Kluyveromyces lactis: one gene and its partner. The protein of the gene in region 1 interacts with the protein of each later gene in a pairwise test. Links are inferred from orthologs where the notes say so. Each region holds a gene or a part of one and is shown on either strand. Other genes may lie near its edges.

Region 1 (16,924 bases):
AACCTTGGATATGCTACAAGAGGGAGAGCATTTTTTGGTAGTAATGGAATATTGTCAGTATGATTTCTTCACATTGGTTATGAGTGATCTAATGGGAAAGCATGAAATCGCATGCTATTTCAAACAAATCTGTAATGGAGTTGCATATCTACATTCTCAAGGATTGGCTCATAGAGATTTGAAGTTAGACAACTGTGTTGTTAATGCTCAAGGTATCTTGAAGTTGATTGACTTTGGTAGCGCTACCATTTTCCATTACAAATACGAGGATAAAATAGTGAAAGCGAAAGGCATTGTTGGTAGCGACCCATACTTAGCTCCAGAGCTTTTGGTAAGTCAATACTATGATCCGAGACCCGTAGATGTTTGGTCCATTGCAGTAATGTTCTATTGCATGACATTAAGAAGATTTCCATGGAAAAAACCAAGCGAAGAGGTCGTGTCATTCAAATTGTTTGCTCAAAATCCAGATGATGAGAACGATCACACTAAGGGTCCATACAAGATTTTGAAGTTACTTCCACGTCATTCAAGACCATTGATTGGTAGAATGCTAGAACTAAGTCCTCACAAGAGAATCTTAATGCCGGAAGTTTTAGCGGACCCGTGGTTCCAAAATATACATTGTTGCGAAGTTGACAACGATGGAAAATTGATCAATCCACCAACTAACCACAAGCATCATTTAATTACGGAAGACGAATTAAAAGAGCTTACTGAGAAGAGAGAAAAGGAGGCTAACGAACGGAGAGCAGCAGAATTAAATCACAATACGACACAAGAGTGATAAAACTTTGCACCTATATCTCAGCATCATGAACCATATCATAACCATAAACAATCTTAACATTCATTCATAATCATACCCAAGCATTTGGTACAACATCATGCACTCTCGCAATAGCTTGGAGACTTTAGAACTTATTTCCCAAATAAAGGGCAATGTAGCATTTGTCGTGCATATTCTTTTCAAATTCGGCCTAATGCATGAAGACCAAGAAATCTGGGGAAACCATCATCATCCAAAGAAACTCTTCCAATGTAAGAATGAATTTTACAAGCTATTGACATTACACCATTGCACGGCCCAATAGAACAATAGAGTGAGACCAACTTGAAATTGATACATTTGTGTGTGTATATACATTTATATTTTTATTACATAAAACAACCTTAAAAGCAGAATCACAAATTCGGTACGATTACTACCATCCATGTTCAAAAAGAATACTTATCGATTCTCCGTTATGAATTCTTCTGATGGCTTCGGCGAAAATATTAGAGACATCTAGAACCTCAACTCTATCAGCACCTAGTACCTTAATTGTTTCGTCCTGTGGAATAGAGTTTGTGACAATTATCTTATCAATAACACTCTGTCCAATTCGGTTTAGAGCATCTCCTGAGAAAATACCATGTGTAATCAAAGCATATATTTTAGTGGCTCCTTGGTCCTTCAAGAGTTTTGCTGCTCTAGTAATGGTGTATGAGGTGTCAACCAAATCGTCAACAATAATACATTCTTTGTTTCTGACATCACCGACCAACATAGTAGTGTTCACGTATTTATTGTTTCCATTATTGGAGAGACTTGTCCTAATATCCAGTGACTCAATTAAAGGTTTGGTCGATACTGGAACGCCACCACCTGATGTTAAGGTGGCGCCAGGTGGACCTTTCAAAAGCTGTGACCTTCTTTCCTTGTGAATCATAGCAAAAGAAAGTTCTAAGACATCGGCGATTTTTGCAGCACGCTTAGCACCCCCAGCATCTGGAGAAACAACGACACAATCCTGATAGTTAGGAATATGATGTTGAATATAAGCCTGAGTGATAGGTTTACAGTATAGGTTATCAACAGGAATGTCAAAGAATCCTTGGAATTGAGAATCATGTAAATCCATAGTGATGACATGATCTGCTCCGGACGTAGTTAGCAAATTAGCGATCAAAGTACCTGCTTGGGCTACCCATAGCTTATAACTAGAATTGCTTGCGTTAAAGAGGGCGTCTGCATTTGAATCTTGCTCCTGCTCAGATGGATGTTCAGCCTTCCCGTTTGGAATCATGGGGATACGCGAAGAAGTAGATGAGGTGGGTCTCAACTCTACTGGACGCAAAGGAGTGGGACTTTGTAGAGACTGAGGACCTGATGAAGAAGCTGAGCTTGCGGCATCTAGCCTACTTGAATTTGGGGACATGGGCTTCTCTACTGTTAGCATGGATTGAGGGATAGGGGTTCCTGGATGTGACTCAAAAGTATATTTTTCCTTAGGCTTTGATATTAATGGAGCACCCTTAGCTGTGTATGGGATATCAGGCTGTCTTGAATACGAGAAGTATGGCATCACAGCAGTGACTCTGGATGCATCAGCTGTTTTACAGGCATTGATGAGAATCAATAGCTCCATAAAGTTATCATTAACATGGCCACATCCACTTTGAATCACATAAACATCTTTCTCTCTAACAGATTCTTCGATACTAATGGAGGTCTCACCATTTGAAAACTTACCTAGCTTCACTTGCGACCTTTCAATACCTAGATTCTCACAAATCTTATTCACTAAATCGAGATGGGAACTACCAGCAAAAACGACGATGTTATTCATTTCTTTCGACAAGACTTACAGGGCTTTATTAAACAGTAGTTTTCTGGATGAAGTACAATACAGGTTCAGCGTTCAATTCACCTCTTATGATCGTATCTGTATGATCATTGTACCGATCGATCTCGTTATCTCTGTCAAATTGTTATAAAAATTTTCGGACCTACTGATAGTAAAGCACATTGCAGAGAATCTTCAAAAAAGAAGAATTACCTGAAAAGGCCCGTGTTTCATCCAGAAGAGCCGCATTGTCAGTAGTGCCATGGATATATCATGTTTATTCATAATGGCCTACTCTTAGGTATTGCGTAAGACCTTTTTGTTCAGATCTGTTATAATTCCCTTGACATTATATGCTTTCCAATAGTAAATATATACAGCTTAGACACAATGAGTTGGGGCAAAAGCAAGGGAATGAATAAGATACAATTTCTGTTCCAATAATCTATCATTGCACAAACCAATCCATCAGTGAGTTGCCTATATAATAATAACATCTCGTCAACGTTCTTGTTCTTTTTCTCAGCTTTTGCTTTATTTTGCAAAGGTTTGATAAATAGCACAACAATAATTTTGAACTATGTAGCGTATATTTCAGTAAAGGTTCCTTAAACTGTAACTTCAGGCACTTGAGGTACACAGGGCAGTGCAAAACTGAAACGGTGGTGTTCGTAACCTACAGTATAAAAATTATCGTTGACCAACACGCAGCATGCTTAGTGCTATATTTATATACAATGCAAAGGGTGATTTGTTGATCAGTAAATTGATCAAAGACCATGTTAAAAGATCACTGGCAGATGTGTTTAGAACCCAAGTCATCAATGATCCACATGTGAGGTCTCCTATATTGACATTGGGCTCAACGACATTTCAACATGTTATCAGAGAAAGTAGCGACAACTTGCCTATGTGGCTTGTAGCAGTATCCAGATCGAATGTGGATAGTTCAATGATCTGGGAATACCTACACAAGTTGTACCAATTAATGGAAGCATTCGGAATTAACGATGAAGACGTGTTAAAGGATGAATTTATGTTATTGTATGAGATTTTAGAACTGACGTTGGAGAACGGCATCCCACAAACAACGGACTTAGCTCAAATAATACCAAGAGTATCACGAAAACCAATAGAGAATAACACAATTAGCAAATCTCCCGATTTGGATGATTTCTTATCCGGATCTAACATTCTAAAGGCTCCAAAGCTTTCAAAGCGGTCCTCAAGTTCAATTGCCTTGTCTTCATTATCTGAATGCCCTTGGAGGCCAAGTGGGTTGAAATACAAGAAGAATGAGGTATATTTGGATATCAACGAAAAGATCACAATATTGGTAGGTAAAGATGGGTCAATTGTGAAATCATTTGTTGATGGATCCGTGGATTGTGTATCACATCTATCAGGTATGCCTCTATGCCAACTAGGGTTGAATGACACATATTCGATTCATGGAAACGAAAAGTCAGAATTGTCCATTGTTGAAATGATGTCCGAGTACGATATTAAGAATAAGAAAGCTATACCGAATGCGGCTGCAGGCTCTGTAATATTAGAAGATTGTAAATTCCATCAATGTGTCCAACTTAATAAGTACGAGGCCAACCACGTTATTCAATTCGTTCCTCCTGACGGGCCATTCCAATTGATGCAATACCGTGTCATTGATAACATTAATATCCCATTCAACGTCATACCGGAGGTAGAAATCGTGAAGAACTCTACACTCAATTACAAGGTAACGTTAAGATCACTTTTCCCATCCAATGTCTCTGCCAAAGATGTAACAGTTAAAATACCTGTGCCCCCAACCACGATTAAATGCGATTTTAACGTCTCTGGAGGAAAATGTAAGTACGATGCCGGAGAAAAATGCATGGTATGGAAATACAACAAATACAAAGGATCTACAGAAAATACTCTGAGCGGTAAGGTGGCAATCCCTGCTACTTCCCACGATCTATCTGATTTGTTAAGATGGTCAAGACCGCCAATATCAATGGGCTTCGAAATTGTAATGTTTAGTAATTCCGGACTTGTGGTGAGACACTTGAAATGTCAAGAACCACAATTGAATTATCAACCGGTGAAATGGATTAAATATATCTCACATTCAGGAGCATACGAGATAAGATATTAGTCCACTGAGTGGGATGACTTGTCCCTATAATGGTGTCTTCATATTAATGTGCAACGAATTGGTTTACAAAAGTTTACCCGGATATGTATATATTATTCATGTTTTTCCTATTTAAACAATGTAGTAATAATATTCCAAAAGTTTAAAGGAACAGAAAGCAGATTATAAGTCATCCTGCGATCTTAGTATGGGGTTTGCGATGATATAGACAATTTGGCCTTTGAAATTCCTATAAAATTCCTTTGTAAATTAAGAAGCTTCATAGATTTCAAGACTATGAAGACATTTTGCATTACCAGAAGTAATCGCTTATTGGTATAAATCTGAGAAAATACAATTCCGCACATCAGACATTGTGATATTCTTCTGTGAGATGCTTCCCCTAAATCGATTTCAATTGTGCGTTAAATCACAGATTGGGCTGCGACCATTTCAATCCTTGACAAAGTTAAAAGCATACAGTCCTGCTAGTCATGGATGTGTCAAGACGGGTCAGTTTGTGAATTTGGTGCCACGGTTCCCACTCCTGGCAGCTTTGAATCCCCGGATGAATCTTTTACATTATAACCAGAATATTTTGGTCTCTCCTGTGAAGATGGCGCTTCGAAATTTCCATTCTACGCCGAGAAACATGGTACTTGGTGGACGGGATCCTTTCAGAAAAAGTCCCTTTAACAATCCCAGATTTATCTTTTCAATCAGCCCTTTTTCCTTTATTCTTTCCACGTTACTGTTCGCTGGATTCATAACAATGATAGTATTTGTTTTGCCTTTCTTACTTGCTTTGCTTTTCCCGATGGTGATATTTGGAATAGGGTGGTATCAATTCAAAGCTTTTAGAACCAGGAAACTTATGCAGCTTTTGGATCATGCTTTCAATCAAACTAAGATGAAGCTTTCATCCACCACAAGGAGAGAATTGATAATGAAGCAAATGGTCCCAAAATTCAAGTCATTTACCCAGCTAAAGGACTTCAGCGGATTCCCCTTCAAGCTCTCTCAAGCATTTACAGATAAGTTTCAATCGGGAGAATTTCCCAACGCAGACAGATTTCTTTCCTTTGTGAAATCGAGATTAGATGAGAGTTTCTATAAAAACGAACACAACATCAAATCCATAGTTTTAGGAAGTGATACAGCTTATGTTCCAGGACACATGGAGTTAGTAACAAACTCGTACTCTTTTGTTTCCAGCGTCAGAAATAACGAAAACATCCAAGCTTTTTCATTTATGCTATTGAACATGGGTTCTGAGGGAGTCCGTAAACCAGTTGCATTGGTTTACATCGTTACAAAGGCAAACCCAGGGGACGAATTGTTGATGTTCACTGGTGACTACATTGATGATTCTAAGTTATCCCCGATGGTCATCTATGTACGTGCTCTCAGCCCATTTTCGAAATGTTGCTTCATTACAGACGTCGGAGAAACTGGAGCAAATGCACAATATAGTGTAAAACGAAAAAAGGACGGCAGTAAAGAATACACGTACGAAAGTGATTAAAAGAACTAACGCCCTCACCTAGGTACTGACATGACATTATTAAGAATCATCACTTCACAAAATCTATTTAAGTTGACACAAACCGTCACAATTTATACATATTCATCAATGAAATAAAAAAGATCATATAACACATATCCAAGCAAACTATAAGATTCATTTGAACCATATGAAAACATGCTTTACATGTAAATCCAACGATTTAGCGGCTATCTTGTGACGTGCCAATAGCTTTATACCTCCTGGATAAATTCTATATGGACAAACATGATCACATGATTTACGTGAAAAACGACATCAACAACATTGGGAAATAGGAGATGTTCTTAAAGAAAGAGAGGAAATAAAGGTTTATTTCATCAGATTTAATAGTGGAACTGGGGTAATTAAATCAAACGGACATTTGTGAGCATCTTCAACCCATTAATAAAGCGAAAATGGACCCACATACTCCAATTGTTCTTGATCAGGGTACTGGTTTCGTGAAAATTGGCCGTGCTGGTGAGAACTTCCCAGATTACACCTTCCCATCCATCGTAGGTAGACCGATTCTTAGAGCTGAAGAAAGAGGTCATGCTTCTACCCCATTGAAAGATATCATGATTGGTGATGAAGCAAGTGAAGTTCGTTCATATTTACAGATTTCGTACCCAATGGAAAATGGTATCATCAGAAACTGGGCAGATATGGAATTACTATGGGATTATGCTTTCTTTGAGCAGATGAAATTGCCAACTACATCCGGCGGTAAGGTACTACTTACCGAACCACCAATGAACCCCATTAAAAACAGAGAACAAATGTGTGAAGTTATGTTCGAGAAGTATGATTTTGGTGGCACATACGTTGCAATTCAAGCCGTTCTAGCTCTATATGCTCAAGGTTTGTCGTCGGGTGTCGTTGTTGATTCCGGTGATGGTGTTACTCACATTGTTCCTGTTTATGAATCCGTTGTTTTGAATCATTTGACAAGAAGGTTAGACGTTGCTGGGAGAGATGTAACCAGACACTTAATTGACCTTTTGTCTCGCCGCGGTTATGCATTCAACAGAACTGCCGATTTCGAAACTGTTCGTCAAATTAAAGAAAAGCTTTGTTATGTATCTTATGATCTAGACTTGGACACAAAATTAGCAAGAGAGACGACTACTCTAGTGGAATCTTATGAATTACCCGATGGGAGAGTCATCAAGGTTGGACCGGAAAGATTCGAGGCACCAGAGTGTTTATTCCAACCAAGTTTAGTTGATGTCGAACAACCAGGTGTGGGTGAACTTTTATTCAACACAATACAAGCAGCAGATGTGGATATCAGAACATCACTTTATAAAGCTATCGTCTTGTCTGGTGGTTCATCCATGTACCCAGGTTTACCTTCAAGGTTGGAAAAAGAACTAAAACAACTATGGTTTACAAGGGTTCTACGCAATGATCCCACACGTTTGGATAAATTCAAGGTCAGAATTGAGGACCCACCAAGAAGAAAGCATATGGTGTTCATTGGTGGTGCCGTCTTAGCGAACATTATGGCCGATAAAGACCACATGTGGTTATCGAAGCAAGAATGGCATGAAATAGGTCCTGCTGCAATGTCAAAGTTTGGACCAAGATAAATGAATGATTAAAACTCTTATATAATAGTACATTTGTATTACGTAGGTAAACTTATTAATGCACCCATAGGTTCATTTGCTGGCTTCTTATGGGAGCACAGCATTCATATGTTGCTTCTTTATTCAATGCAGGAAAAAAAGCCATAAAGACGGCATGTCAGAAGTGCTTTATCCCAGTACTGCCCTCAGTGCAATAGATTAATCTATAATTTAAATTCAGCTAGTTTGTTCCAAACATCTTCAGATAATTCTTCCACACGCTCATTATTGACATGTTTTTGATCGCAACCATAGTTTACTGCATTTTTTATCAAATCATGTATGAAGAATTTTGTTACGGTGACAGGATTAATTAATGCACCACTTAATAGCTGGTCAATTGTAACACGAGATATGGGATTTCTTTCCAAACATGATCTTATAGTGTCAATAACAGTTCTTGGTATCACTGTACCGAAAGAGTCTTTTTCAGGATAAGGAATCTTAACATCAGGATTCATGATCGCATATAACCTATTGTTTCCCTGGAACGTACCATAAGGCGGTTTTCCGTACACCATTTGGTAGAGGATACATCCACAGGACCAAACATCTGATGGTTTACCCACTTTCCATTTGGCTTGTTCACCATCATTCCTTGTGAAGTTCATTGCAACCAAAGTCTCGGGAGCCATATAATTGGGAGTTCCGATCTGGTTGTCTCGATAAATATTTACAGTGTGATCGGGAACCGCATTCGCAATCCCAAAATCAATTATCTTTAACATTCCCTTGACGAAAACAAAATTTGCGGGTTTCAAATCAGAATGGACAATATCAGCATCGTGAACCACCTTCACACATTTTATCATTTCTTGAAAGTGATATCTGACAAATTCCGTATCAAATGGTATTTTGGATCTCTGAGTCAATACTTGGGATAGATCATGTTCACCACATTCCATTAGGAGAAATAAGACACCTTGTCCCATATGATAGTCAATTAACTTAACAACTCGCTGCTTGTTTTCTAGTTTCTTTAGAAGCTCTATTTCCCCTTTGAAGCCATCAATACTGGACTCATCAAATTCATCGAAAGACACGCGTTTCAACGCGTATACCTTGTGATCAGAAGATTTCACTTTGTAAACTTTACCCGATCCACCTTTGCCGAGTAGTTCCACCTTTTCATATGCGGTACCGTTCACTGTGATCGTTGGAACAGCATACGAGGTTCTCTTCTTTGTATCAAAGGAGCCATTATAGTTCAGATAATTATCCCCCTTGTTCAGTTTTGATGAAACATCGCAACCCTCGGACTTCAAAGGAATAACTTCAACAGTGGATTTCGGAGGTTCCACTATCTCGACCTTTTTAAAGGGTTTCGAATCATGTGGCGATGGTGCCTTCCTATGGGAGAAAAAAGGAGGTCGATAATCCTCGGGTACATGATCATTTTCGTACTTTGGTCGCTTAGCTTCTTGACTGCTAGATGGATTATTGACATCTAATGGTTTCAGCGCTTCGCGTTTGTTAGCTAGTTCACGATCTACCTCCTGGAATACCAGCTGATTTTTCTGCAATGGAGAAGAAAGCGGATCCTGTAACGACGTTTTATCTGTGCCAAAGTTGTGTTTTCTCCGTGGTTGCCGAGCTGTTTGAGTTCTCCTATATTGAGTGAATTCCCTCTTTAACGCCAGCGTTCCAGAGGTGGCCTTTCTCAACACGGTTTTTCTATTCTCTTCCTTTTGCCTTTCAAAATATACTTTCGAGATGTACGGAAGCTCACCACTGGGAAGATTATACTTCTTTAGGTACTGGTATGGGTTGAGATCACCAAAATCTATATTCTCATAGTTGATGTTAGGTTGCAGATTGGCGGAAGGGTCCTTGTTCTCATCGTGGCTGGGTGTTGAATGTTGTCTGTGAGTCTCTAGAAAAATGTTATGGTCATGGTACCTGTAACCTGTATTAGAACTATTAGAGGTATGCGAATTTTCAATATCTTGCTGGGAAATGTTAGATGTATCATTTATTATGCTACTGTTGATTTGACTATTATCAACCCTGGATTCACTAGGGGAATCCACATTGAAACTTGTAGAAAGGTTACGTTTGGCAGGTCCTAGTGAGGACAGTCGGGAAGTGATAAACCTTCTATTTCGTTTGTTTGATGATTTGGTTGTACTGTTATATAGCTCCTCTTTCATACTCTGTTGCAGTACTTTGAACTTTTGAGAAGTATGACTGTGAGTGTCGTCTTTCATCAGTGACTCCTCGTTCAGTTTATTATATTTGTTGTCATGGTTGCTATTTGAATTCGAAATATCATTATCTTCTTTGACCACGGTATTCATTGTTGTCATGCTTGGTTGGAATTGTTTATTCACCATTGTGAAAACTGTTGATTGAGATTGATCTTCTGTGTGATTCGAGGTATGTGTAGTGTTCCGTCCATTGAAATGCCTAACAAAATGCAAAGGGTTCGAGTGAGTAGGTTCTTCTAATCCTGTTTTAGCATCTTGATATCGACTATACTCATGTTGGCTTTCTGCTGTAGGAAATGACGACTGGTTAAGTCGTACAACTCCATCAGATCCAAGCATCAAATAAGAAAGTGTATTGAGGCTAAGGAAAGGGAGCTGCCTTTAAGTTTAGATGGTATCGTTGCAGCAAAAGTATCCACACACTGTAAGAGTATTGATGTACCTTATGATGAATTAACCAATATACTTAGCACAGTACCTACAGCTGATGTTTAGCTCCTAACGGTTGAAATAATTAAAAGAGATTAGTTTGTTTATACTTCGAGAAAGCTTTGGCTTTTCTGGGTAAACAGCACAAAAACAAACAAAAAAGTGCGGTGCACGGATGGAGCAATAAGAACCTTAATCTTCAAGTGAACACCGGTCGACAATTTTCGAAAGGATAATGAGATGGTTAGGCATACTCATATGCTTTCATTTGTTTCAGAGTGGATACTACATCTATTAAAGCTTGTATACACAATGCTATAGCCAGCACTTATCTGGAGAAGTCATTGGGGGAAATTTCGTATACTACCAGACAGGCTGTGGTACAAACATATAATAATACCGCATTAGTTTCGGGCATATGTATGTAATCCATACTTTGAACCATTGGGTACTTGATAACAAGTCTACATTCGTTGCAAGTGTGATGGAAGTCTGAGTTATTTTGTGTGAATCTTCTGTTAGTTTCACAAAACGTCGATCTCTCTTCGTCATCACTATCGTCACATATATCCTGAATTCGAAGGATATTTAAAATCTTCTCAAATCTGAAAGCATAAATGCCACGCCACTCGGTTAATCGATAAAGAAACATTAGTCCAGAGCCATTTGCAACCACAATGCAATTTATTTCGCGTAAGTGACAAACCATTATTTTGTTGCTTGAGAGATCAACACAGTTGAAATTCAAGGGAAATATCGGCCTAGTAAATGCATTCATGATAATTGGATCTGTTCCAAGCAAACTGGTCTCAAAAGTCGAAGTAGCCTCAAATATGAAATTACTTCCTGATGTCTTTGAAAAAAACTTTGGACCATCGTTATTAAATCTTGATTCATCGCAAATCCGAAGATATTTAATTATCGATTTATCCACGTATTCATCAACAGCATCTTTATCAATGCGATTCAGTATAGGGATATCTAGTTGTCTAGCGGTGAAACAATCTTTAATATTAGAAGGAGAAAATTCTCCACTTTTCAATTCTGAGGATTTAATTTGAGTAAATTTCCAGGTCTTGTGGAAGTAGATACGTCTCAATAAATCAGCTGAGCACTCAATATTGTCTATAAACTGGAGATCAAAACAAGGATACCCTTTCCTTTCGATTCTTAAAGTTTCTACTTGATCTTGTAAAGATAGAAATTTATCCTTGTAGTCTTTACAGAAGTCGAGCTCCGCATCCGAAACAATCTCCCAACCAATTCTTGTCTGTCGTACGTCAGACCGGTCAGAGGTTACGTGCACCTTACCGACTTTAGAATCACCATAACCATGTGATCGTTTGGATATATAGCAATCAGGATCCTGTGAAAATGATTCGTTGAGTACCTTTTTATTAACATATACCTCGTGGTAATGTTTTCCATATTTTTGATATGCGGTATACCTCAATTCTATAGGACAGTTGACAAGTGATTCATCGTTTCGATAGAGGAGAGAGAAATTTGGAATTGGAACTTCTATTTGAGCAATAGATGCCCCAAACCCCAAATAATTTGATTCAGATGGATACAAAGGGAGTACTTCCAAAATCATGCTGTTTTGATATATTTGGCGCACAGTTTCTTCATTTCTACTAGTATTATAAGATAATGTCAAAAACTCATATTTCGGCACTGAAAGAAAATCGTCCTTGGATATCGATATCAATGTACTTTCATCGTGCGAACATAATCCATGACTATCTATGGCTTTACTATCCTCAAGAAGCTCATAATATATCTGCCCACTCTGTAAAGTCTTTATGGGAAAGTGTAAGGTGAATTTAGTTGCTGTTCGATCTTCACAAATAACTATGAACCCATTCACTGTACAATCCAAAAATGTAATGCATGATAAGCTGGCAGGGAAAGTAATTTCATCTGAGATAGGAGTTCGCTCTTTTGAATCAAAAAACAACACAGTCAACACTTCCTTGCTGGAAAAGATTGTGAGATTGGACGATTGATCAACATAATCGCAACTTAAAACTTTAGTTCTTTCGGAAGGTAAGCGCAGGTTAAGTACAGCTTTATCTGGAACAGCAGAAAAGCTTGTTATAAAAGATGATTCTCTGTAGAATGATACATTTCCGGCGGAGTCCCCAAATACCAATACAGTCACTCCCATAAATGAGGGAAGTCTTTCCATCAATGAGAGTGTATATTCATTTGAGGAATTGGTGAACAAATCATCAATAAGAAGATTCTGTTCGGCATCTAGTATTTCATTATGTGTGGATAAATGAGTAAGATCCACGATTTTAATAGTTCTTACTGAACTGATGTATAGTGCATATCGATTTTGAAGAATTATGAAGTTATTGCATCCACTCCTATGTTGGAAAACATGAACAGGATATGATCCAATTTCTCTAACTTTTATCTGATAATAATTTGGTAAAAGAATTTCGCCAGGGTCACAAATTTTACCGTTACCCCAGATAGGCTCCATATCAGAACCCCTGGAGATTATACCTTCAACGTATTTAGAATCCGCTCCCTTACTTAAATCTACCTCAAACTCTTGTATTTGTTCCAGTCTTTCGGACAAGTGAAGGCCATCAATCTTGGTCGCCGCATTTGGAATCTTACACCAACTATATCGATCACCTTGCGCGTCATTATTATTGTCACCACCCATAAAGACATGTTCGGAAGGCCCAAGCTTCCTTAAGAAGAATCCGTTTGCTTTCAAAAATAGATTCAAACGTCTTTTATCATAATCCGCTAGTTCCATGAGTTGCTGCAACCGATCAATTCAGCTATATTAGTCGAATGCTATCTTATATGAGTTGTCTGAGCATTTGAAAAGAATTTTATATCATTTGATTTGTTATGCCATGTTATGTTATTTATGTTGCGCTTGTTGATGCACACATGTGCCCATGCTTATTTCTGATTTGTTTTTCTATTCAAAGCTTTCAACAGAGGACTTCAAGAAAGATATTCATTGGAACAAAACCATGGAGAGTTTTCCGGTATATTAAACATTAAGTAAGTAAATGCATTTGATGAATATCATGAGATTTCCAACAATATTAACCATTCTCTATCTATTATATAAATTTTAAACCAGATACCAAGCTCATTTTTCCCTTAATTTCAGTTTCAAACTATTTGTTTCTTGTAAGATTGCTTCGATATACCGATCTTTATCTGCAGATTCTTTTCGCAATACTTGAAGCTGAGAAGTGAGGAATTTGTTGGCGTTTTGTTCTATCGTATACTTCTTGAATGTTTGTACAAGGATGTTATTGCTGAGATTTTGGAACAACTCGTTCGAATCCGATTCGAAAGATTGCAAATGCGCCAAAAGGTCCCTTTCGGAATGATATTCAAGGTTTCTGTAAGAGAGAGGGTTAAAACTTGAAACTTGGAATAATTGCTGTTCGACATGCAGGAGATCAGCTAAATCAATAGCGGATTTGAAAGACATGATGTATTGAGTTAAAAACTGAATGCAGTAATTTTGAAAAGCTAGAATCCCATCAACGTATTTACTTGTTAGTCCCTTCTGCTTACGCAAATCCAATACCTTCTTACGCTCCCTTTGGCAATCTTTCACTAACCTGCTATTTCCTTTGGTAATTTTTTCAATTTTAGTTTTGAGGTCCAAATTCTCAGCATGTGAGCATGATAAGTCCTGTACAATCTCGGGACCAGTCGTCTTATTGATGTTTTCTAAATATTTTTTCTCCATATCCTGTAAAACACCTTGAGAGACAGCCAAACTTTCTGAAAGTTCCATATTCCGTGATTTTTCAGATTCATAGTTCTTGGAAATTCTTTCCTGTTTCTCTTTTAAAGTTTCGTTTTTAGTAACCTCGTTATTGATTTGTTCACTCAACAACGCAATTTGGCCCTTATATTCAACAAAGAACTGTTTGCAAATATTGTTGAATTCGATAACTTCCTTCAATTTCAGTTTAAGATTGTTATTCTCTGCCTTCACATTATCGATTTCTTTAGTATTTTTAACGTATTTATTTGTGATATCTTCTAATCGAGCTTTTAGATCTTCGGTTTGCGCAAGTTTGAACTTTATATCTTCATCTTCCTGTTCCTTAGTGCTTTCGAGAGTACAAAGCTTTGCATTGCATTCTTTTGAAAGGGTTAAAATATAATCGCATAGAGCTACAATTGATTGATCTGATCTCAAAGGATCACAGCCCGTTTTCAAACATGAAGCAATTCGTTGAAACTTACCAAACGTCACAGAATTTGTATCCACCATCATTAAATCTATGTTCTTGGAGTTTTTTGCATTTGGAGATTCATACACATAATCATAAATAGAAATTTCATGATTTGAAGGTTTGAAATGTACTTTCATGGCTGGTTCATTTGGAGGCGTTTCTGGGCTATCATTGTCAATCGTTTGAACTTTTGATTTTATGATTCTTGAAGCTTCACGCAAAGAATCCATGTCAGTAGTATCCGAGTCACTCGTTTCAATAGGATCATCTTTTTTGGTGGGGCTGGCACTATTATCAACAACATTTTCAAAGGAATCTTGTAACATCGCTTCTAACCTATCATTAGCTGAAAGAAGAAGTTTTTCCTCCGGCGAAATAGCTTCGTCAAAAAGATTGACATTATTGGTAGGTTCAGTGTTTGGTCTAGATCTATGGATGGATTTGCTCCACCAGCTCACTTCCTTTGGATCATAAGCTCGATCTTCTTTATCATCTAAAGCCAGTTTATTTGCAGGAGTTGGAGTTCGTTCTCTTCGAAATATATTCCAACCTCTATGTTCATTCATTGAAGACGAACTTTTAGATCTGCTAAACCCCAAAATGTTGCTGAACCCGTGAATACCATGAGAAACGGGCTTATCAGCTGTCTGGTTCTCATAATCATTATCGGAAGACGAAGTAGAATTATCTTCCTTTATGGAGTATTCAGATAGTTCAGGTGGTCTATTCATACGGACAGTGTGTGAACCTTCCATCATGATGAATGAATGCCTGAGGACTACTGGTTCAAAAGCAGAACCGTAGACAAAGACCAAATTAGCAACAAGAGTCTTTGGTGGCAACCAGAACACACGTCAGATTGTTTCATTATATATCCAATCCGTTAGTTTTTTCCTCCATCGAGATATCTAATAAATTGTTTTTTGTAAACTGACGCTGTCATCTGACACAATAAGTTATAAGGTGAGAAATTGGAATTTCAATTATAGCGCAGCAAATTTTAACGTTACGTTTAGGGAACCTCCCTGTTCAGGGTGGCAGCTCATTATAGACAAGTTTAATATATTTGTTGCTGAATGGAAACTGAATAATATATTCTTTCATCGTAATTTGAAGAAATGAGGAATTAATAAGATTAGATTAAAATGCATCTTTGAAAAGACCATTCCACAATTAGGTGCCTTTGATCTTTTCTATATATATATGTGCTGTGAGTGTAGCACAGTAATTTGTATTACCAGTGTGTAAACATTCCTTTCATCTACCAAGCGGAATGCATTTTCTAATGTTGAAAAAAAAGATCATACTGTCAATAGATCATCTGCTGATGGTTGAGTATCCTTATTGTAGACGAAGAATTGCGCGAAAATAATGAAATCCATGATTAAAGTACCCGAACTTCCAATTAACCAAGAAGCGTTGACTAATAAATAACGTGGGGCGAATGATATACTCAAAACAGAAATGATAAAAGTAGTGTTACCCAAGCATGCAAAAAGGAAGAATAAGAAAGACACCCCTTCACATGATTTTCTCTGATAGTTGAGCAGAATTTGAGGGATTCTTGAACCTAGGTATAGCACGGCAGAAAGATATCCGAATGATTGAGCCAGCCAATTCATGTGAAGGTCCAATTCAGGGTTGCTTTGATGAGGATTCTTGATATAGGAAATGTACCATGAAAAGAAGCCAGCCAAGATAACGGATGAAACAATAATGATATTGAGCAATTGCTCCCTCAATTTCCCGTCTTCAGGTTTATCTGCATTTGGAGCAGTGGCTTCAGATGTTGTCGATGAAGTCTCCACATAAACACGACGTTCGTTGTGTTGGTGTCCGGTAAGCAAAGGCTGACGTTCATGAAAAACATCTTGTAAGACGTTTTCGTTGATTGGATTAGCTGGTGATAGATGTACAGGGTCAACAGGTCCATCTTGACCGTAAAACAAGCACTGAATCAAAAGAATTATATCAGCAGCAGTATAATATGCTGCCAAAATGATCATAGTGGGTAGTAAATGCTGAAGCATAGCGCCAAGTAAGTTGAAAATATCACCAGCAAGCCATAGCACCACAAACATAAGCGAAAGACCTTCTGCCGACTTCCTATAGAAGTTTTCATAAATCTGTGGAACGAAAACGATG
Region 2 (15,426 bases), on another chromosome or scaffold:
TTGCTATTTCATGGTTTCAATATCTACATAAAAAATGGTATGTACGCAACTTGGAAGCACCTTTTAAACTTACTTCGAGATTCTTGTCTTCATGTTTTGTAAGAATTCTCTGTAGTTCCAGCTGTTTTGGACCTTATCTTCGACCAACTGAGATGCAGTCCATAATCTTAGAGAAGCAACTTCCCTGGCAGAAGGATGGTTCATTGGTTCACTTGGTGAGGCGCCTCTGACAATGTGCAAGGTTTTGTAGAAGATAACATCATCGTGTTCTCTTATCTTTGTAATAACATTCCTCACTCTTAGGTTGAACTCAGTAGCGTCTAATAGAGGTAGTTCATTTTTACCAATTGGAATTTCCATAATGTCCGGGGTTCCAAACACGTCTGTAACAAGCTCTGGGACAGCATCACCGCCAATCCATAAGAACATGTCCAATCCTGTGTCGATTAAATACAGACCGTATCTTTCCAATAAAGACGAGGTGGAGTTAATTGGTTGCGGTAGTACAATTTCACCAGTTTCTTCATCGGGAAGACCAGCTTCGTCAGGCATGTCATGTAAGGAGTATACTGTTGGATAAATGTTTTGAATCAAATATGGCAATGGTAACGTTTCAAGATTATTTAATGCTTGAGCTCTGTGATCAGCCGGAACAATACCAGAACGGAAAGCCATATGTTTAGTTAGAGAATGCATCAATAGAGGCCACATTCTTAGGTTACTACAGAGCATTAATGGAGCTCCGCCACCTGTGTTTGAAGTCAAAACTTCTTTCTTGTATGTAGCCAAAACCTCTTGGACAGATTTGTTGAAAAATTCTCTAGTGTCTTCAAAGCCAGAAGAAGGAGCTCTTTCCACAGCCTTTTGAGCGAAGTATGCTGTGATGGCCAACTGATCTGCAGAAGCATAGACTTCAGTTAGCTTATCAGTAGTTGGAATACCAATAGTTATGACTCTAATTCTTCTTTGGGCAGCATTGGATGTCAATAATAAAGCAATTTGAATGTACACAAAGTCCTTTGTTAATTGTTCATCGATACCAATTTCAAAAACGTATGATTGGTCCCTTGGAACCGTAGCCAAAGCGCACAAGTCTGAAGATCTATTGAAGAAATGACCGTAAAATCCGGTCATTTTCAAGCCTGACGAACCACGAGCTCTCATAACAGCTTCCAAAGATAGATCCATGGATACGTGTTTTGAAAATTCTTTTGAGAACTTTGTAACATCGATCAAGTTTAAGGCACTGAAACCAGGGTAGAAATGGGTTTGGCCACCAGTGAAACGGCCTAGGTTAGAGATAGATGCGATATCGACATAATCGTCGGAAGCCATAAACATATCCACCGTAACTTGATATTTGTTACATTCGATAGGGAAAGATTTGTAGAATGCGTCACCAGTGTTCAATAAAGTGGAAGCTTCCTTGGAAGTATTTGCAACAGCCTTTTCATTTCTCTTATGTAATGTACCTTCACCGACGTTGGCCAAAGTGGCACCAACAACAATAATCTTACCACCCTGAGCTCTGATCAAGTTCAAAGCAGACTTTAGAGCAGAGGCCAAGGCAAATCTTGGTTGAATATTTTGTTGGAAAATTTCTGGTAAGCTAGTCAATAATTTTTCAATGTTGCTTCTAGCCTCAATTAGTGGAACCAATAGGCCAGTGGGAGAAGGTAAGAATGGTTCATCCAAGTCAGCGACGTCGTACATCTTAATGTTGTCACCTTCTTCGTCCAAAGGAATACGGAAGTAATGTAGAGATTGATCAACACAAATAATAGAGATTCTTGTTCTCTCATCATGGTTTGGAATGGTATCCAAGCTTTCCAAGAGAGTTCTTGCAGCAGTAGCCAACAAGCCATTCTTGATTGATGCCTGAGAAACGTCCAAAATGAAAGCGTAAGTGGATGGTGGTGGTGGTCTGACAGCGTATTCTTTAGGAGCAACGAAATCCACAACAGAATGGTTGAATTCGGGTCTCTCGTAACGGTTACCATTCATATCAATTGCTTGAGGGAAGTTGTTCGCCAAGTTACAGAAGTTACATCTCCAACGTAAACCATTCTCGATTACTTGTACGAAGGGGTTCAAGTAGGCACGACAACGTCTACAACGAACCACAACACCGTCTTCGCTAGTTGGCACTGGACATTCAGAGTCGGTTAACTTAGTGTATGGTCTGATAACCATAGCTAATGGTAGTTTCGATTTTTTCAGTAAAGAATTGTTTTTTGGAACGGCGTTCAAAGTGCACCTTAAATGGTCAGAACAATTGTTAACTGTATCGTTAGGAACAATCATCTTCTCTGGAGGGAGCATCAACGGTGGTGGAGGCAAAGACAAGTCAGTGATTGGAGGAGGCAATTCTTGGAACAAATCAACTGGGTACAATTGATTCATTGGTTTACCCACAGCCATTCCTACTCCTGGTTGTTGATATTGTGGTTGCTGCTGCTGTTGTCCGTACGTTTGCCCATACGGCTGTTGCATTGGCTGCTGATACTGCTGCTGAACACCGGATATGTTATCGGCGCCGTAGCCACTGTTCATTGGCTGGCCATATTGAGGAGCCCCACCGTATGGTGGTTGTTGCACCGGGGTTCCAGCTTGCTGGAATGCAGTAGGATCAACCACAGGAACGTTGTGTAATTGCATATTACCAATGCCGTTACTTGCTTGGTCGATCTGTTGATGCAAATGTTGTTGAGCAGGAGTCAGAAATTGCGGCTGTCCAGCACCTACAGTTTGCGGAGGAACACCTCCACCAACAATTGGCTGTGCAATCCCTTCTGCAATTTGGTACTGAGCCTGAGGATAAACACGCTTCTTATGGTGTGACATGGTTCAGTATAATTTGATCTCCTGTATCACTCGATTGTCTGTAACTCTTTCTCTTTTATCTGCAAAAAATACAATGCAAAGAGCCTTCTCCTTTATAAACTTCTGATAAGTCGCCTAGATCCTGACACAGTTATTGACTCTACCAAGTTGAAGATCCAAAAGAGTAGATGCCTCAATCGATGGCAATTGAATATCAAATGTGTGTATTGTTTTTATAATTTTCGGCCCGTTTTGTTATTGTCGAAGAATCGAAATTTGGGTTTTTGGATTTTTGAAATTTTTTTTTTATTTGGTTTCCTTTCAAGATAACTGCTAAATAAACTGACGCGGTTTGAGAGGCTTTTTCCAGCGTATGTATATGGTTGCTGCTTTATTAGCCAATTGCTCAGTCGATGTTAGCTACATATATTGTATTTCTTTGATCATTGACATATGTGTATTGTATGCTGCAGTTCGTATTTGTATATTGACAGCTGTCAGATTTTAATAATAATATTCGGGTAACATCATAGTTCGTGTTCTCTCAGAATCACATAGTTAAGTAATTAATGTCGACGTGGTCATTGTAGAAGATAAAACTTTCGGGCAGATTGTGGGTCACTGATACTCCCTCCAGACACTGTACGGGCTTTAACGAACCTACCTGTGGTTATGCAGTGCTTTATTTGTTGATGGATATTTAGAGATATAAACCTTGCTATATCACGTGATATGAAAGTTCGAGGTCTGCTTATTTTATTTACAATGTGCGTAGATTTTGGATCAGATCTTTAAACAAGATGTCTCGAAGGTAAAACGATTTTAAATACGAGCAATCCATCCATTGTTCCTAGTATTCGATATCATAAGGTTCTACACTGGTAATTCAGCTAATACCTGTGACTGACACTCAAATCTGCTTCTTTTTCCCACTGGTACACCATAGAATACCCTTAATTAAATCAAGTGATGTCCCAAATCCAATTTTACAACATCAAGAACGGAGAAGAGGTTCATACACCCGCACTTATTGTCCACGGAAATATAAATACAAATGCCAATTCTGTCCAAGTGCATCATTCGCAGCTCCCTCCCTTAACGTTTCCCGTTAACAACCACGGATTCAAGTGCATTATTTCTTTGACTCCTGGTGAAAACTTACTATGGTTCACTGGAAATGACAATTCTACGGCGCAATTAACTATTCAATACGTACCATTGTTACAGAACCCGCCAATTCATCTATGTCTACTACTCGCTAAAGATTCTCCTCTGAAATATGATGCACCAGCTGTACAGATTCGTAAGGAGGGTGGTAACGGTCTCGATTTGGCCATAAAGAAATTGAGAACTGGTGCACGGATCATGCAAGCTTTCACTAATGAACAAATGGTTCGTAACGGCGTCGGTCAAAGAACTTTCCGATTCGTGGAAGAATTCACGAAGGATACCCTCCTAAAGGATGACGAGTTAAGAAACACCGTTAAGATTCATATTCTAAAAAGTGAGAAGACTACCGTGGAGCTAAGAGATATTAATATCGCACAACAGAATCCTAATGCAAAAGATGCAGGTGGCTTATTTGGTATAGCTATGAAGGAATTAGAAAGATATGGTGCACCATTTAATGACAACTATAACACTTCTCAAGCTGCTGTCATGTTCATGGATAGTCATTGGGACAAAAAACTGAAATTGATTACTGCGCATGCCGCTCTCGGTGGTGGTACAAATAAGATCAAACTTGCAATTTTCGGTTCCCATGGTCTGTATTCTTGGCCTACTTGCTTTCAAGACATTGTTCCTTACTTTTTAGATGATACCAGAGCAAGCACCTCTGAAGTAGCCAATGATTGTAACCAGTGCGGTACCCACTGGGAATGTCTCGCAATTACACTAGGTGCATTCATGCATGAAATAGGACACTTGCTAGGCTGTCCACATCAAGAAAATGGGGTAATGTTAAGAGATTACATGACTTTGAACAGATCGTTCCTTACCAAAGAAGCTTACAGTTTAAGAACTAATTCATATGGTGCCCAATCTCCAATATATCCTAAACTCGAATGTACATGGCACAGATTGGATATTCTTCGATTCTTATACCATCCCAGCTTTGCACTACCTCAAGACTTTTATGATCCGCAATTATTAAGACCAGGTCAGCTAGATCATTGGAAATATCAGAAGGCCACCTTGTTCCCGATGGGAAATCAAACTGCAAGTATTAAATCGGAATCAGGTATCTACTGTATTGAAATAATATGTGGTGAGTTCGGGAAAGCCCACTTGGAATATCTACCAAAACAACATGGTGGTGTAGGACCCCAAAAGGAAATCTTAGTTACTCTGGATCAGCTGCGTTCCATGATTCCTCCTGCTCAAGTTCCTGAGTTCGGTAACAAGTTCAATATAAAAGTTCACTCCATTAACGCTGCTACCGCTGAATTTACCAACTTTCCGGAGATAATCAATGTTAAGCCAATTTCCATGAAAGAATATGGTTTCGGAAATAACGTTCTAGGTGTTAAATCTACACTATTAGGTAACGCCAACCGTGGTAGTCCAACTGGTTTAGTTCCAATTAAAGTTGAGCAATGCTACATCGTGCGCGTTTATCATGGCGCAGCTTTAGATGGTATCAGATTTTATGCTAAGGACACATCAGAAGCTCCTCAGATTCCTCCACGCACTTACGCCGGAAAGGTGTCTAGCATATTTAAAGGTGCAAAAGATGTTATGACAAGTGGTCCATCAGTATTATTTGGGAAGGAGACTGCTAATTATAGTGATCTAAGACTGGAATCCAACGAATATATAACAGGATTCAACGTTAGAGCAGGTGCTTGGATAGACGCGATCCAGGTAATTACAAGCAAAGGTAGATTATCTGAAATGTTCGGATCAAAATCTGGAGGTTCATTGGGAACACTAACCCCGCCTCCGAATAAGAAAGTCTTGGCAATATACGGAAATGTCAGCAGTTGGGTTGACGCAGTAGGAATAGTTTTCGAGGCTTGATGGTCAAATACGATAAATCATTAAATTACAACTAAGGTTGACGTTGTAGTCTGTAAATACTTGATGCAGAAGATATTTAAAGGAGTGTTAAACTATTAATAAGATCTCAACTTGTATGAGGGGACATTGTTTCACTCTGACTTCTAGAAAGAGGGGGAGCCTGAGGTGTAGTGTCACTCTTTGATTTTTCATTAGTAGCCAATTTTGATAGCTTTTCATTTAACTTATCTAATTCAATCGAGTTAGCTAGTTCCCTAGGAGAAACACTTCTTTTCAAAATTCCAACATGGTCTGAGCTATGGTTACGAGACATTGTCCTGGCCAATAAGCTGGGATTTGTCCGATATGGTGGAAGTTGTCTAGCTGGGTGAACAGATCTAGAGGCACCTGACATATTTGTGGAGGAAGAGTACGGTAGATTATGTGGCAACCGATTCGAAGACTGTCCTCCACTGCTGGTTGTTGTGAAGCTACTGCTATGGCTAACACTCCTGGACTTTCCGCTGGTGGCAGAGGATGGAGCAGTAGGTATGATTGAGTATCTTCTTTCTTGATGGACTAAACCGACCTCTTTAACCTTAGTTGTATTCAAGTCAGTATGTGGTACCTTAGAAAATGTGTCTGTTTCTTCGTTATATTCATATAGATACCAGCTTACACCATATGGTTTGGGCTCCAAACAGTACACGGAATGTAGGGGGACATCCAAATTTGTAATAACGTCCTTACTCAAGTTCAAAAAATAACCAAGTAAAACTCTTGCTACCACTCGATGCGTGACGATTAGAAGATTATCCGTAATTCTTTCTATTTCTGTAATCACAGGGCGTAACCTGTTAATAACATCCATATAAGATTCACCTCCAATGCCAGGATATCTATACCTTAACTTGTCTAGAAGCCTTTCTTCATATTCTTCAGGAGAGCGTAGCAATATTTCTTCGTATGTAAGCCCATCAAAATCACCTGCACTTAACTCATCTAACATTTTCATTTGTTTAATGTCAAAATGCCTGTCATTAAAAGTGCATGCGGTAGCCATAGCTCTTTTTTTCATTGATGTCCATACAAAAAATTCTGTCGGCGTAAACTCATGTTTGGTATCTTGAGTGCAAACTTTCAAGTGTTCTTTCATTTGATTCTCATTGAAAAGCTTTCTTTGTTCCTCCATAAACCTGGCTAAAGCTCTTGCATATTTCAAACCACGTTTAGTTAGTTGAGAATCACCACCGATTTTACCAGAGACGTTAAATTCACTTTCACCACTCCTTGTAATCCAGATTTGTCTCTCAGCAAGATTGAAGTTTAATAGATAGTATACTGTTTGTGAAGCCAAGAATCCCTGTATATCATAGGAAACAATTTTTTTACCAATGTCGATCATCTTGATGTATGGAACATTTTCATCGTCTTCGATGGTCTCATACTTTTTCATATAATTAGACAATCTTCCCTTGAAATCTGATAAAGATGACTCAGGATCTTTCCCCTTATAATCTGGTCCCAGTAGTTTCATTCTTATATTCTTTTCGACGGTCTCTTTATCCGAACAAATACTTTCTAGGAACAAAACTTTGATGAATTTATTTCTTTCATGAATCTTTTTAAGAATCATCCTACGCCTTTCTTTAGTGGAATTAGTTGCATCAAAGATTCCAACTGAGCCTGGGCCATTCAATAAATATTCTAAAAGTTGGTCCAAAGTGTCAAGAGCCCATTTATTCCTTAACATCTTGGAATGCTCGTCGTCCGGATCAAAAAAATTTGAATCCTGTTCCTTCATGTTATGTTCTTTTGCAAATTGCCTTCTAGTATTACCCACATTGAACACTTTACAATAATACATGGAATAGTTCAAGTACCTGGATAATTTATTTGTAATGAACGATTTTCCTGTCGCAGGCAACCCGACCATTATGATGATCAACTTGGACCCCGGATCCTTTTGAGATATAATACCATCGGGAGAAGTCTTAGATTTTGTCAACCCCGGCACATCGATAGTGGTGGGCCTCCTTTTCGGTACCATATGAGACGGTGGGTGATTTTCAAGCATCGACTGGTCCTGCCAATCTTCTGCGCCGCTTTGGAACCCATTCTCGGAAGAAAGTTGTTCTTCAGTGACCGGTCCCAACACAGGAGACCCAGTTGGTGAAGTGCTCCTTGAACTTTGAGGAGACGTCTCAGCAGAAGTCTCTACTGAACTACTGGGAGACTGGAACCTAGAAACAACGGGCGTATCACTTAAAGGCCGCTTTTGAAACTGAGGTAAATTATCAACCTCGTAGATTCCATCCTCATTCTCATCCATTTTCAATTGTGTCGCTTGATCATGTCTCTTATCTTCGATGGACTGTGTAGGTTCCAACTCGGAATCTGAACTAGAAACCAAAACATGTTCAGAGAACGAAACTCTTCTAAACATATACGAATTGGTAAATCTGATGACAGGATCCCCTAACAAAATCTCTAGTTCTCAGAGCGAAAAATATAAACGCTAGAAAATTGAGAAAAATTAACGGAGAATAACGTTAAACCTGAACGTTGAATTCAGTTTACTTTGCCACTGAGCTGTAGTACTTTAAATGCTAAAAGCTTGATCCTGCCCTTGTTTAGGGTTCCATGTTTCTGTTACATCATTCCTCATGTGATGTTAGAATAAATCATTTCAAATTCTAATTTCAACCTATATATAATTTTAAGGGAAGAAAATCAAAAAAAAAAAAAAAATGCTATAGTTAGGAATGAGCATATGCTAGCTTCCTTGGGTCAAATGGATTTTTGGGCCTCGAAAAACGAGAGGAAAAAGTAGACTTGCTGACATAAGGGACAAACTAAAAGAGGACAGACACCAAAAGGGAAGAGAGACAAAAAAAATAAAGAAATCACGTGATATATATTTCTCTCACTCCTCCCATTCTCTCCCATACTGTCTCGCTCATCTTACTTTACCTATTTCATGGAAAACGTAAACAAAATCAGAATTCGTTTTTGATATTTAGCATTACGACAATGATAAAGCGGGAGCTTTAGTGTTGAGATCAATTGAAGGCATAGCTATTGGCACAGCAGGTCCTTTGAAGAGAGTTTTATTAGGTAAAGTTTTGATTTACAAATCTAGAAACTGTTTTAGCAGGATATCCCAGTTGTTCATCAGAGTTTACGGTGGCAGTGTGTTCAAAATATTACTCAAAAAATGTCATTTCTACAGAACTTGTATGTTGTAAGATTGTTATTTGTGTCCTCTTTACAAAGTAAGTGAGAGCGGCCTTGATAGTTTTCAATTATTTTACTAACGTTGAGGTTTCTGCGATTTTTACTCGCTTGGGAACTTTCCATATGTTTTCAGTCATTTGAGTCCAGGTCAGACGATAAAATCAACTCGAGGATTCAAATGGAATACAGCCAAAAATACGAATAAAGATGGGAATGGCAATGGTAATACAAATGGTAACGGATTCCAAAATGTAAACCTTACAAACGACTTGAGTTTGCCTCAATTTAACGATAACATGCCACAACAGCTTTCAACTCCTCAGAAACAGGCAACTACTGCACATCTTTTCCAATCTGGACTGGATCATGGTGCTGGCCCTGTTACAGATTTCAATTACACACCGTCGCATCAAAGACCTTACATACAGTCAACTTCGGGCACCGTGGTGTCATCCCATCAGGACTTAAGACAGATCGTGGAGACCACTTTGGGGTCCAAAGGTGTTTTAAACCAGGCTGTTAAATTACCTAAGGGCGAAAATATCGACGAATGGATTGCTGTACACTGTGTCGATTTCTACAACCAAATCAATATGTTATATGGGTCCATCACGGAATTTTGTTCCCCACAAACATGTCCAAGAATGATAGCCACTAACGAATACGAATACCTATGGAACGTCCATCCTGGGAAACCTCCTATATCGTTACCGGCACCTAAATACGTCGATTATCTTATCAGATGGTGTCAACAGCAGTTTGATGATGAATCATATTTCCCAAGCAAACCAGGTGCCCCATTCCCAAAAGATTTCAAAGACTCTATCGCAAGACCTATCTTGAAAAGGCTATTTAGAGTTTACGCCCATATCTACTGTCATCATTTCAACGAAATTTTAGAACTCAATCTACAAACAGTTCTCAATACAAGTTTCAGACATGTCTGTCTGTTCTCAGAAGAATTCCACATCTTAAAGACTAACGACTATGGGCCTTTGCTTGAACTTGTAATTGAATTTAAAGATAGGTGAGAACGAATTCCCATTTAAACCGTTCAAAATCAAATGAAAATAGCACTTGAAATGATGGTTCATCAAATCCACATTCGTAGGTAACATATACATATTTTGTATAAGCATCACCCGCCTTCCTTTTTATAGTCTCTCTTATTTTAAGATCTGTCGTGTCTATGCGGATAACTCCGGTTCAGTTTCAACGATAAGGAAACTCAGATTGTGAACAATCTTATTTTACACATAAAAGATGAGGTACAATATATGAAAATCTTGCCTTAATGTCCTGATATAAATATATTAGCGAACGTTAGTTACGAGTTAAACAAGTCAGCCGCGTGTCCTGGGCTACTTTTCAATTGATATACAAACAATGAAGCTGGCTGATTTTGTCACGTACGTGTTCGGCAGCTTACTCGCAGGATTGGTTACATTGAAAGTATTGTCATCCTTCATACCAAGTTTGCTAGTAACTCTACCAGCGAAAGTAAGGTTACGTGTTAATAACTCACTTCTAAAATGCTCAAACAATTTGAACAGGATTCCTGTGCTGGATTTTGGTTGGAAGAACTCCTCTGTTAGAAGAGCCTTTATTTTAGCTTCTGAAAGGCCATCGGATTATACAAACAAAATATATGGCGATAGGGTTCATATAGCATACAATGATAGAATAAAGAGAGAGTCATTCGTTAATAAGTTGGGTTTTGATTCAAAGCGTAAACTCTTAGGGTTTTTCCATCCTTACTGTAACGCTGGTGGTGGTGGAGAGAAAGTCTTGTGGAAAGCCGTTGAGACATCGCTAAATCAGGATAAAAACAATATATGCGTTATCTATACCGGAGACACAGATGTTAATGGATCAGATATATTGAACAGTGTGCGGAGAAGGTTTGAATACGATCTAGATTCGGACAGAATAGTATTCATTTTCCTACAGAAGAGAAGACTGGTAGAATCAAAAAGTTGGCCGAAATTTACGCTATTAGGCCAAGCTTATGGTTCCATCATTTTGTCCATTGAAGCGCTTACTACACTTGCTCCAGATTATTGGATAGATACAATGGGATATCCTTTTGCTTATCCCTTTGTATCTTTGTTTGCTAGGATTCCAATTGTAACGTATACCCATTATCCTGTCATCTCAACAGATATGCTACAAAAGCTAAAAACTATGCCAGGATTTCACACAAACTTTAAACTGATCGGTAAATATGTCTACTGGAAAATATTCATGCTCGCATACAAATTTTCAGGCTTATTTGTTGAAATTGCATCGACTAATTCAACTTGGACTTATAATCATATTAAATCCATCTGGTCCTCAACAAAAAATATTCACATTATTTATCCACCATGTTCCACAGAATCATTGATAGAAGGCTGTGACAAATCAGATCCAGTTAAAAGACTAAATCAAGCGGTTGTTATTGCGCAGTTTAGACCAGAAAAAAGACACGAATTGATATTATCTTCCTTCTCTTCTTTCATCGATGCTACGACTAAGAAAGATTTGATTCCTAAAATAATATTTATAGGATCAACAAGAAACGTAGAGGATAGGGAATATGTTGAAACGCTGAAGAAGTATGCCTTTGAGGCACTTAAAATTCCAACCCATTTAGTGGATTTCAAAACTGATTGTAAATATGATGATATGAAGAGTATATTATATTCTTCATGGTTTGGTATAAACGCAATGTGGAATGAGCATTTTGGTATAGCTGTCGTGGAATATATGGCAAGTGGTTTGATCCCATTATGTCATGCTTCTGCTGGACCTCTTTATGATATTGTAGTGCCATGGGATTCAAAGAAGAATGAACAAAGTACTGACAAAGCTAATGAAACCGGCTTTTTCTTCATCGATGAAACTGATCCGGATTTTCTAGCCAAAGATTCTTCAAAGTATAGTTCTTTACGCACGTTATTTGCTCAGGTATCGAAATTGAATACTGTACAAAGAATTGATATCTCAAATAGAGCCAAGATGTGCTCTTTATCAAAATTTTCTGATTCAGAGTTTGAACGTTCATGGAACGAGGTGTTGGAGGAACTCAATTTGACTCATAATAGAATGTTCAGTTGAATTTGAATTATATAAATTGTTACATTACTTAGACAATGAAGTAAAGCTATAGATGTTTCGATATCAGTTCGTATATGCACTTGCTTTGAAAACATGACATCATACTTGTTACAATTTTGTTTCGGAAGTATTAGCAGAGAGAGGTGACATGGTGCCATTTTGGCGAGATTACTACACGTTATTCTTGGCAGAATTTTCTAATGAATATTGGCCTGATTTACGAGGATTTTTAGGGGTTAAAAACTGCGATGCTTTGTTCATTGGCTCGATATTAGAGTTGTTCAAAGTGGTGTTACCTGTAGTTTCAGAAAAAGCGTGTATCTCGTTTTCTGTCCTTGGGGTTGCCAGAATCGAGTCATTGTTGTCAACACTAGCTCTGGCTGCTTGGTTGCCTTGTGGTGTAGAGTGTGTCAATACCGATTTATTATGTGAGCCATCCAAGTTCAATTTTTCTGTGACAAATCTAGCTTTTTCCACAGGATTGGAGGTAGAAGTTAGCTGTTTAATATTGTTGAACCAGTCCATCATAGATTCGTAAGAATCTGTTCTGAAAACCCAATTATGACCTCTGTGGATAATCCCGTTTTGTTTTGTATGCAATATAAACTTAAAGTCTGAAGATCCTTTCTTGGAATGTTCTGCAACAGTACAGTCATTCAAAGACAACGATATTACGGGAATCAAGTCTTTCTTCCTATCACCGGATTTAAACTCATGCAAGAAACTTGGAGTTAAGACATAGAACCCACGAGAATATGATTTCAAGAATTTGGATCTTCTTTCGAGAATTCCAGATTTAATCTCGTACGTGAATGGATCATTTTGGTTCTTGTAAACAATGTCTTTGACACGTCTCATTGGTAAGTTAGGATCGATGAAATTTGGGTCCTTAGCGACAAAGTTTTCCCATTCAAAGACAGGATCTTTATTGAAAAAACCAGTGTCCAATTTGGAAATCAAAACGTCAAACACTATCTGAGCTTCTTGGCCTAAAACTTTAGCGTAACTGGTCAAAGCGTTTTGAATTTCCATCATAACAACTTTTTCCAACTCCCTACCAGAAGTTTGTAAATTATTAAAAGCTTCATGCAAGAAATTCTCTTCGGTCAACTGTTTCTTGATTTGTTTTTCCAAAAGGATCTTCGCTAGGAAAGGATCCTGTTTCACAGATCCGTATTTAGAATTTTCCAACGATTCCTGGAAAGCTTTTAAACGAATTTTGGTTTCCTGAAGTTCCTTGTTACATGAATTTTTGAAATCTGACTCTAAAGATTGAATTTCTTTAATTTTCACCAATAGATCACGTCTCATATCCTCTAATCTGGGGATCACATCTTGACTCAATTCCTTGGAGGCCTTTGATGCTGCATGGACCATTTGCGTATGGTACTGATTAAATAAGGTGGGTAGATCCTGAATAGATCCGTGCCCTAGAGGCAAAAAGAATTTTTGAATGTTCTTGTCCTCTGGAGTGGTAGGTTGATGTTGGCTATCAATGGTGAAAAATGGGAAGTTAATTGCATGCTGCAATCTCAAATGTTGTCTTACAACTTCATCTTGGATGGAAACCGTTTCTTGTAGATATACAAGAAGTGATCTGATAATACCTCTCCATGCTGCAAATCTCTGAGAGAGAACTTCTGTAGGGTTCGCATTAGTAGGCATCAATACCACCAAAGGAGATCTGGGATCCTGACCGTTGGACCTATGTCTTTGCAATGAAGCCCTGTTTCTGCTAACATGCGTATGCGAGCTAGTCAACGAATTCGTCTGCTGCTGTCTCTTGGAAGAATTCATTTGAGGGAAAGAAATTCCTTCTTCAAGACCAGTTGCATTTGCATTCCCTTGAACGCCAACAACATCCGCTGACATGGATCCTCGCGGTTGGTTCACATCGATAGATATGTTATCGGTCGGATAAGGAATTGTCTGGCCAGCAACCGAAACTCTGTTGTTAGCGCTAGTTCCATTCAATCCGCTTTGCTGGAAATTCTTGTAATCAGCAGAAGTCAAACTTCTAGATGGTTGCTGTTGCAGCTGCTGCAATTGCTGCAAACTGTGTTGGTTTTGCGAAAGCATATCGGCTATACTGCTAGTCATAGTGTTTTGTTTGGACATCTTATCACTCGAAAGCACAAATCAGAAGTAAACTATAATGATGATGATTATGATGATAAAGTCTGCGATAGCCCGGCTTTTCTCTTTTTTTTGTAGCTAAAGGGCTCCTCCTTCTTTATTCCTTAATAACTACTCAAACCGTAATTATCTCCAAAGTACCGAAAATACCTCGCCAGGAGAAAACGCTTTCTTTAACGTTCTATCGTATCAGTTTCTTAACAAAGGGAAAATGGAAGCACAAATCCCTAGTATTGTACTGAACTTGAGGTCCTTGCAAAATTTCTTAAATAATTCTTCCCAGTTTCAATTTTAATTGCAATTTCAAATTTTTGTTATTTTTAAAGCTGGGCTCCCAAAACTTCCTCTAAATATTACTGTACTTGGTGATTACTACAGCATTTTCTTATGATTTTTTTTTTTTCCATTTTTTGCATTCGATGCTTCTGTGAGATAAAGAAAGGTTCAATACATATGGATGGGGTTGGAGAAAGGATGCTGTGGATCCTGGTGGTGTAAAGCTTGCAGATAAGGGGTGTGAAAAGCTAGGACGAAGACGTCAATGGCACTGTCCAGGATAGATCTGTGGGAAGAATGATATTTAGTAGTATATATTACCATGTATTGACGTTTGGCCCTGTACAGAGTGATGAGGATATTCTGCTTCAACTGAATCTCCTTGTATCCATAGGCATTTTTTTTGTTACGTGTGGCATACGTCGAAATCAACTGGCCGAAATGGACGGTATAGTAGAAGTCCTATTCGGCTAAACCGTCTCTTCAACTGGATACCTGTGTTCTGCTCTTTGTCATGTTTTCAGCCACCTCTTTGAAGTGTTGTGTGTAACACCTGTGTGCATACTGTATTTGTTGCTACTGGGGTTCCTGCAAGATCTCTGAGCGATTTCTCCGATCACACAGTTACCTCTTCCGATTAATGACACGTGACACCGAAATATCGTTTTCCCTTTCTCAGATTTTGTTTACGTTTCGTTCAATATGACTATTGAAATCTCGAATTGAGTAAAGTAATGAATCAAGTGATTGACATATCAGCGGATCAGCAGGCAAGGGACTGATATCCAAAGTCTTTACTGTACCCCCGGCGAATCATTTAAATTCAAGAGCAGAACGTTACTGTTCCAACATTAT

What was found.
Region 2: the proteins of MPS1 (region 1) and MOB1 interact in a two-hybrid assay, tested with the Saccharomyces cerevisiae proteins (2 studies listed by BioGRID). The link is inferred for Kluyveromyces lactis from reciprocal best matches to the Saccharomyces cerevisiae genes MPS1 and MOB1.

The regions. Positions count from the first base shown.
Region 1 is NC_006039.1:342,714-359,637, reverse strand, and holds MPS1 (serine/threonine/tyrosine protein kinase MPS1), read right to left. Parts: upstream 10,452-16,924; coding exon 8,070-10,451; downstream 1-8,069. Other genes in the region: putative serine/threonine protein kinase RTK1, read left to right, coding at 1-787; ribose phosphate diphosphokinase subunit PRS5, read right to left, coding at 1,206-2,612; APM4 (Apm4p), read left to right, coding at 3,322-4,749; MRX9 (Mrx9p), read left to right, coding at 5,123-6,253; ARP2 (actin-related protein 2), read left to right, coding at 6,691-7,866; CRT10 (Crt10p), read right to left, coding at 10,870-13,320; SPO21 (Spo21p), read right to left, coding at 13,669-15,537; YPQ1 (cationic amino acid transporter), read right to left, coding at 16,081-16,924. UniProt on the Saccharomyces cerevisiae protein: Involved in mitotic spindle assembly checkpoint signaling, a process that delays anaphase until chromosomes are bioriented on the spindle, and in the repair of incorrect mitotic kinetochore-spindle microtubule attachments.
Region 2 is NC_006042.1:351,647-367,072, forward strand, and holds MOB1 (Mob1p), read left to right. Parts: upstream 1-9,040; coding exon 9,041-9,060; intron 9,061-9,193; coding exon 9,194-10,091; downstream 10,092-15,426. Other genes in the region: KLLA0_F03729g (uncharacterized protein), read right to left, coding at 70-2,844; KLLA0_F03751g (putative metalloendopeptidase), read left to right, coding at 3,793-5,844; PFK26 (6-phosphofructo-2-kinase), read right to left, coding at 5,951-8,269; alpha-1,2-mannosyltransferase ALG11, read left to right, coding at 10,447-12,159; KLLA0_F03839g (SLM1 family PH domain-containing protein), read right to left, coding at 12,331-14,277. UniProt on the Saccharomyces cerevisiae protein: Functions as an activator subunit for the DBF2 protein kinase. Binds to DBF2, which is required for the phosphorylation and activation of DBF2 by the upstream kinase CDC15 in late anaphase.